Ovis aries: one gene and its partner. The protein of the gene in region 2 interacts with the protein of the main gene of each other region in a biochemical or structural test. Links are inferred from orthologs where the notes say so. Each region holds a gene or a part of one and is shown on either strand. Other genes may lie near its edges.

What was found. The genes of interacting proteins can lie anywhere in the genome.
Region 1: the proteins of TLE4 (region 2) and PAX5 form a complex in vitro, tested with the Homo sapiens proteins (2 studies listed by BioGRID). The link is inferred for Ovis aries from reciprocal best matches to the Homo sapiens genes TLE4 and PAX5.

Annotation. Positions count from the first base shown.
Region 1 is NC_056055.1:51,690,511-51,694,169, reverse strand, and holds part of PAX5 (paired box protein Pax-5), read right to left. Parts: intron 689-3,659; coding exon 560-688; intron 1-559. UniProt on the Homo sapiens protein: Transcription factor that plays an essential role in commitment of lymphoid progenitors to the B-lymphocyte lineage. Fulfills a dual role by repressing B-lineage inappropriate genes and simultaneously activating B-lineage-specific genes.
Region 2 is NC_056055.1:57,304,508-57,308,938, forward strand, and holds the start of TLE4 (transducin-like enhancer protein 4), read right to left. Parts: upstream 2,862-4,431; 5' UTR 2,020-2,861; coding exon 1,975-2,019; intron 1,685-1,974; exon of another isoform or gene 1,469-1,684; coding exon of another isoform or gene 1,430-1,468; intron 1,141-1,429; coding exon 1,043-1,140; intron 1-1,042. UniProt on the Homo sapiens protein: Transcriptional corepressor that binds to a number of transcription factors. Inhibits the transcriptional activation mediated by PAX5, and by CTNNB1 and TCF family members in Wnt signaling.

The DNA.
Region 1 (3,659 bases), about 5.6 Mb from region 2:
CAACAGGGAAGATTGACATCAATTTAATCCCTGGGAGGCCCCTGCACTGGCCCTAAGGACAGAGATGAGATTATTCACTTCCTCAACCACCCCCCTCCCAGCACCACGCTGAAGGCCTGGGAGAGACCCCACTCGCTAAGCCTACTACAGGAGGGGTGCCCCTCTCACTATGCCCAGATCCATCCTCTCCCCAGGGGTCCCCCCAAAAGGGGCCATTGCTGCTGTGCTCATACCCCCACACCTGCCAAGGGACCGACTTCCTAGAGGTGGCAAAGCACAGGCCATGGAGTCCTGCCAGGACTGCCTTTCCCTCCAAAGGGTGAAGATGGGAGGAGGCCAGGGAGAAGTCCAGTCCCAGCCGGCCCCTCGTCCTTTCCCAGAAGGCTTAGCCCCTTCCCCGAGGGTCAGGTGGAGGCTGGGCCCGGCGCCTCCAGAGCTCCGCAGGTAAGGGGAGCGCATAGCAGTCATTTGTGCTCCCGCTCCTGACAAAGGGCCTGGAAACAGATCCCTCAGAGCCGGTGGGTCCATCCCCAACGACGGCGCGCGCAGCGTCTCTTACCTTCGTCTCTCTTGCGCTTGTTGGTGTCGGCGCTGGGGGATGTGATGCCCAGGATGCCGCTGATGGAGTAGGAGGAGCCAGCCGAGTCCGTGCTCACCGAGGACACCTGCGTCACGGAGCCCGTGGACACTGCGCAGAGGGAGAGGACGGTCAAGGCCCGGCAGGAGGCTTGGCGTGGGGGGGGAGGCGGCTCCGGGGAGGAGGAAGGTTGGGCCCCAGCCATCGGGCCAAAACAAAGGCACTCCCCCAACACCAGCTTGGTGCGCCGAGCGGAGAGGGTGGGGGGCGTGCTAAGGATGCCTCCCCCTGAACAGCAGCCACACCTGGAAGATAAGAGCGCCCCCCCTCCCAAGAGAACTGACAGCGGTGAAAGGAACTCAAACCCAGCCTATCCAAGGATGCAGGAAGCAGGGGGATGGAGCAGAGAAACTGGGGAGCTGCAGCCCACAGCCAGCCAGTGCTAAAAACAACATACTATTTAGGCAGGGTCACTGCCTATTTACACATCCACCCAGCCACGCAGACATAAGTATCTGCACACTCACACACATAGCCAGCAAAGCACCTAATGAAGACTGTCTCTTTTTTTAATAGTTCCTCACTGTCTTTTCTCCTTCCAGTTTACCTGGATTTTAATCTTTAATATTAGTTATACAATATTAAAAGTGAAAGTGAAATTGCTCAGTCGTGTCCAACTCTTTGCGACCCCATGGACTGTAGCCTACCAGGATCCTTCGTCCATGGGATTTTCCAGGCGAGAGTACTGGAGTGGGTTGCCATTTCCTTCTCTAGGGGATCTTCCCAACCCAGGGATCGAACCTGGGTCTCCCACATTGCAGGCAGACGCTTTGCCATCTGAGCCACCAAGGAAGTCTTATATATATATTATATATATATTATATATATTAATATACTCTATGATATATACATTGATATATAATAATGTTCATCTTTTTTGAGAACTTACTCTATGCCAGGCATTCTTGCATTATCATATTTAATGCTGAGAACAAACTTATAAGTTAGGTCACTGGAAAGGTAAGGGAATCAAGGTTCACAGAAGGTAAGTGACTTGCCCAAAGTCACACAGCTAATGAGACAGTGCAGTGACTGGAACCCAAGAACTAAAGTCTTAAGCCCTGTAGTAATCTGCTCCTCACCAATGAATAATGAAAAAACAATAATATGCTTCACATTAATAATGTATTTTTCGTTTGATGCTTGCAATAACTGAATGCTATTATTCATTCTCATTTATCAAGTGAAGAAACTGAGCCTCCATACGGCAAAATGATTGGCTCAAAGTCATCACACTAATAAGCAGTAGCACCAGGGCTCAGCCTTGGGTCGTCTGGCTTAAAGTCTAGATTTCTTCCGCCCCCAAACGTGGGTTGATGACTTACTGTGAATGAGGTATTAATATCTAAGTTCCTAAGAATAAGAAAGGGGGAGGGGAGGTTTCAGCAAGTTTCACATTAACTCCTGGCCCCAGAATCTAAGAGGGAGGCCCTTCGGTCATCAGGGGCCTCTCAAGCTGTACAGCTGAATTTCCATTTCTGGGCTGTGGGAATTCTTTCTCGGTTCATTAAAACCTGTAGACCAATCTCAGGCACATTTCCTTTGGCCATAACTAGCTGGAGGCAGGTGGAGCTGCTTTTGACTCTAAAGCGTAAGAAAATACTGGAGATGGAGGTGATCCGTTGAGAAGCTGTTTGTTGCTTTTCTTGGAGCACATCCAGCTTTTGCCCCTCCAGACCTAAGGGGAACAGAGCTTTCTTCACATAGTTGAGTTTGATTTTAGATCTTCCTTGGGAGACACAGAAGTAGAAATCGTTAACTTCTCTTTTCCTTCACCAGAAGAAGCGCCTCAAAATAGATTTATGCAAATCTCACAACCTTTTTTGTGTTAAGGTGCAAAGAACAGAGGAAGAAAGAAGATCACAAGTCATTTGATACTTTAAACAACAACAACCACATGTAACCAAGGTTCACCACGCTGCTGACAGAGCTGATGACATTTGTTCCAATATTTTGTGATCACACTTAGCTCAAAAGACCCAGGTTCCAATTCTGGCTTCTCCACTTACTGGCCATGTGACCGAGGGCTAGTTATTTCTTCTCTCTAAAGCTTCCATTTCCTCACTCTTTGGTAAGTTTATAAGCTATTAGGGGTGGCATACACATAAGATATGGTTTTTATACCAACTTCTGAGATTAGGCATTCTGCTGACTGTCAAGTGGAATTATTCCTCTCACCCAGTTGAAAGAATATTATCAGTTACCCTTAGTAGTCATTGCTATAGGACCTGAAATAGTTAAAGCTGCAAATGAAATCCCAGACACAGATATTTCCCCAGAAACTTCCCTCAATCCTCTTCACTCCAGCTCAGCACAGCTGGTCCATCCCTCTCTTCTGTTCCCACAGCACCCCTACTTTCTTCTTGAGCCTGATCTCAGTATTCACAAACTTCTCTCTGTAATTGTTGTTGTTCAGTCGCTAAGTCATGTCTGACCCTTTGTGATCCCATGGACTGTAGCCCATCAGGCTCCTCTGTCCATGGGATCTCCCAGGCAAGAATACGGGAGCGAGCCACCTTTTCCTTCTCCGGTGGTGAGGCAGGGGGGTCTTCTCAACTCAGGGATCAAACCCTCATCTCCTGCATTGCCAGGCGGATTTTACCACAGAGCCATCAGGGAAGTCTGAAAACATCTGTCGAAACCTGGGCTCTGGGCTCTTTGTGATAGTCCCCATTAGACCAAGAAGCCCTTGAGAACGGGGGATTTTGTCCTACTCCTTTATAATGTTAGTCTCCACAACAGGTTGCATAGCAGGGGCTTAGCCGATGCTTTTTGGATGGATTACTAAATGAAGACTTATTTTATGTAAAGGAGGAATTCTGTCTTACTTTGATGTAAAGAGGCAACCATTAGCAATCAGAGAGCTTCATGCTTTCTCCCAGCTAACCAGAGGTGTTTCTCTTATCCCAGGTGGAGAAATAATACACCTTGAGTAGAAACATGTCACTTTCATCTCAGGATCTTTGCAGGGAAGGGAAGGCAAGGGAAACTTCTGAATTCCTGAGTAGTAGGAAATATAACT
Region 2 (4,431 bases):
TCTTGACTTACATCCTTCAAATACACATTCCCTCCTCTAAATCATCACCTACAAAACACCATATCAACTATCTTAAGTACCACCCTCATTACGGAAAAACAGGCAGGAGAGAAAAGGGTGAGTGGAACCAGTCCCAGCTTGTCCTTTCAACAAGGATCAAATGTGGGGGGTTTTGCTTAAGAAAAAACCCTCTAGCCAATTAACTACAGAATCTCATTCAGAAATGAATATTCACTAAATTCACTAAACACAACATTAACGAGGAAATAAACATCAATAATGCCTACATCTCCAAGCAATAGTGGTCCCCTAAAAATGTCACAGGGGAATTTTTTCTTTTAATGTTCCACGAAAAGATTAATGAAAATATGAATCAAGCATGTCTTATGAATGATGTCTTATTTTTTCCCTCCAAAACACAGAGACAAGTTGAATACCACCACCCAGGGGCAAGGCATGGATCAGGTTCAGTGGCTTGTTTTGGTTCTGTAGTTTATGAAATAAGAAGTACAAGCCATTAAAAATCTAGCGAAAGAAAAATATTTCAAAGGCACTCTAAGATCTAGTGATTGTCTCTTCAGACGAAAACATCTTTTCAGCATAAAAGTAATGAAATCGCCTACTTGGCGACTTCCTAAGGCTCTGGGCTCTCGGTTTCAGTGGAATGGCATAAAGAAAGAAGGAATCAAGCCCGAAATTATAAAGGACCAAGAAAGTCAAAAGGCCCCAGAATGTTCCCAACCGTCTATTCGCCTGGCCTCAATAAATCAATATTGAAAGTTTGGCCTCGGCGTTTTCCAAGTGTCCCCAGTTTCGATTGTTTGGCCTTTTTTTTAATTTACGGGAAAAGGAAGAAACGCTTAATTTCTTTACACCTGCCTAGGGAAAAGAGGCCTTGACTTGCCCTTTCTGCCCACAAGGAAACATGGTAATACCTTTGTGGTGGCGGAAAAAAAAAAAAACGGGGGGGGGGGGGTGTTGTATGTTGGGAGAAGACAAGAGCTAAGCAAACAGAAGGATCAGCTAAAGTCAATATCTTTACCTGTGGTACTGAGCCTGTAAAAACTGAAACTCTTCCTTAATCCGATCACAGGACTCGGAAATGGTAAATTTAAAGGGTTGAGCAGGCTGATGCGGTGCCTAAAGAACAACAATAAAATATTTAATTAGCCCACAGCAGAAGCGAGGCAGAGAGATGGAGAAACCACCACGCGGCACTGGCGGGAGGGTGGGGGGTGTCATCTCAGGCAAAGAACGTGGAAAACTCTCCTCCCGCCCCCTCCCCTGGCCGCACAGCCAGGCTGAGGCTGGCCCCGGGCCCCCGCGTTCTGGCGCCCGCCCGGGACCCCGCGGGCTCGAGACCCCGCTCCCTTCCCACGTCAACGGCGGGGGCCCCGGGGCCGGCGCACCGCGCCCACAGCCTCCCCACCCGGAATCGAAACTGGCCCGTCGTGGGGACGCGCGCCATGGCGTCGGGCCGCGGTCAGGTCGGGGGAGGGGGCACGCGGCAGACACTCTCCCGGTCGGTCCGTCGGCTGGCTCGCTGATCTCCGGGACCCGCGGAGCGAAGGGCCGGCGCCCCGCACTCCCGAGCCGCCGCCGGACACGCCGCGCCGCCGCGGAGGGCGCCCTCCCCGCCCCGGCGCGGAGTCGCGCCTCCTCCATCGCTCGCCACCCCTCCTCCAGGAGTCGCGGCGCGGGGACGGCGAACAGCTCCGCGCGGCTTCCAGGGGCTTCAAAGACAACAATAAGAAAATGGCTACAACTCAATTGCTTCTCCGCACCCCCTCTCCGAAAGTGCCCTCGCGCCCGGGGAGAGCAGGGGCGGGGGGTGGAGGGCGACTCTCGAGCTGCGCGCGGGGTTTGGGCCGCCCTCCACGCCCCTCAGGCCAAAGACACAACTCAGCGCGCAGGGGGCGACGCGGGGAATCCCCCGGCGCCTGGTAAGCCCGCGCCCCCACCGCCCGCACTCACCGGGTGTCTGGTCTGCGGGTACATCTTGCTCAGGTCGCGAATCATCCAAACCGATTTAGTTGGCTGCGCTGGGCAGAGGCGCGCGGCTCATTGGCTTTAATGGCCCCGAGGAGGAGGCAGCGGCGGCGGAGGCGGCCGGCCGGGTCCGAGGGGCGGCTCGGACGGTCCCGGCCCCCGCTGGGTCTCGCGTGACGCGGACAGCAAGAACGCGCGGCGGCGGCGGCGCCTGGGTGCGGGCTGCCGAACCGCTCCGCATTCCCCGCGGGCGTCACTGGCCCGCCGCGGGCATTGTCCGGCGCGCGTCTCCCGCGGCAACGCTCCGACGTTCGCTCCGCTGAGGCGCGCCCGCCGAGCCCGGCGCCACAGCCGCGCGGCTCACCCGGGACGGGAAAGTGCGAGCTCCGCGCCCCAGCGCCCGCCGGCAGCGCCGCCCGTTCGCTCGCTGGCTCGCTCGGCGTCCCACTCCAAACTTTTTTTTATTTGTCTTTTAATTGGTTGTTATTCCTCCGAATGAATGATCTCTCTCTTCTTTCCTAAAAGCAAACACAAACTCCTTTGGTTCGGAAGAGGTCTCGGCGGTGCTTTTGGTTTCTCTGGAGATTTTTTCACCTCACAGCAACGATCTTTTAAAAGGCACCTTTTAGCTTCTTTTACCACATCTCATTTCCTTATTTTTCTTCCTTCCTGTTTTCTTGTCTTTTTTTTAACCCCAAATTGAAGGGGATTATAAAAATAAAAGAGTGAAACGCTTGCGGCTTTTTTTTTAATTCTCTCTCCTTTCAAACTCTGCGAACAGCACCTCAAAATAATATATAAGTGTGTGAGAGGGGGAAGAAAGCAGCCAACAGCTGAAACACCCGCTCAGAACAGCTCTAACAACACGCTCTGTGTAGGTGAGTTCTTTGACCAAATTTAGCAGCCGCTAATCATTAACATTCTGATACATATTCACAACCGTCCTTGGAGGGACCGCGGAGCATCCCGGGAGATGTAGTCCGCCTCCAGCGACGGTAGCCAAAGATTCAGCCAAATTGACTACAATCACCGGCCAGCCACGCGACCACTTTGGGGGGCCCTCCAAGCGTCCCGCCCACCCCCGGCGCGGTAGGCGTCTCCAACAACCAATCAGAGATGGCTGAACATTAATCGCCGTTCTGTGTTACTGCCCATCATTTCACTGCTGACAAATGGCGAACTAGAGGGGAGGAGCCGGCCTGGATGGAACCCACGTGGGGCCCGGGCGTCGTCCGTGGCTCGGACCAATGAATGCAACGAAATGGGGTGAGCGGAGGCGGGGCAGAGATGGCACGCCCAAGGCGGAGCTTCGCCTTGGCTGACGTTCCTGAGCGCGAGCGTTCGAACCGGGGAAACATTTGTTCGGCTGTCAATCAAAGTAACGTGGGCCTTGGAGCAGCGGTGGCTGCTGCTGCTGCTGCTGCTGCTGCTGCTGCCCTGGCTGCATCTTCAGAACTGGATGTTGGTGGCGGTGGTGGCGGCAAAATAAAGAGGGTTCAGGGGGCGGTAAGACTGGAAGTTAGTCAGAAGATCTTCCGAGTCTCGTCTTCCTTCCCGCCCCTCACCAACCCAAACATCCACGGCCCCATGCTCCGGGCCGCGCCAGGAATGCGGACTAATTAGGGTCCAATGTCTCCTTAAAGAGACAAGCTCGGCCTTGTGTAACGCTCCGAAACCCCTGTTGAGACAAGAGAGGGAGGATCACGCCGATCCCACTTCGTTCGGTTCACATCAATTTTACGCGCCGCTGGAGCTGGCATAATTTTCCGTGTGAACGCGGATTCGGGCCCCTGTTCTTGTTCAGAGCCCGAGACTGAGCTGCAAGACGCTGACCCGGGCGGGGGGCGGGGACGCGGGAGGAGGGGTGGCCCTCCGAGTCCCGAGCTGGCTGTGATTGCCGTTTAACCCCGAAGTGGGGCAACCTTCCCCAAGCAACTCTGCAAGGAAACTCCCCAGGACGCTCAGACTGGGGGTCGCGGGGGCGTCAGCGTGGAGTTTCAGGGTGGGACTGGAAGCCCGAGGTGGGCAGGGGTCGCCCGATTCCCGGAGAAACTTTGTCGAGAGAGCCACCTGCACCCCGCAGACTATCAGTTGGTCAGCGGGAAAAATAGGGTCATCCAGATGCTGGTCCCCGACACCGGGAAGAAAACGGACCTTCATGCCCCAAGATGCTCCCTCTCCCAGATCAGCAGGAAGAAGACTGCCCCTCATTTTCCCGTTTTTGGGAAGAGCAAGTCGAGCTTGTCGCTGTTGAAACGGGCAGGAAGCCACGCGAGAGGTGGCGGGTCGGCCACCTGGAAAGGGGACCGGGACTGGAAAGGTGGGGGCGTGTCCGGGGGTTGGAACCTGGGGAAGGGCATCCCTATGATAGAGGCTAAGAAATATGAGCGGACTTGGTGGCAATAAGGGACAGCCTAGGACCGGCAGCTTTTCCACCACTAG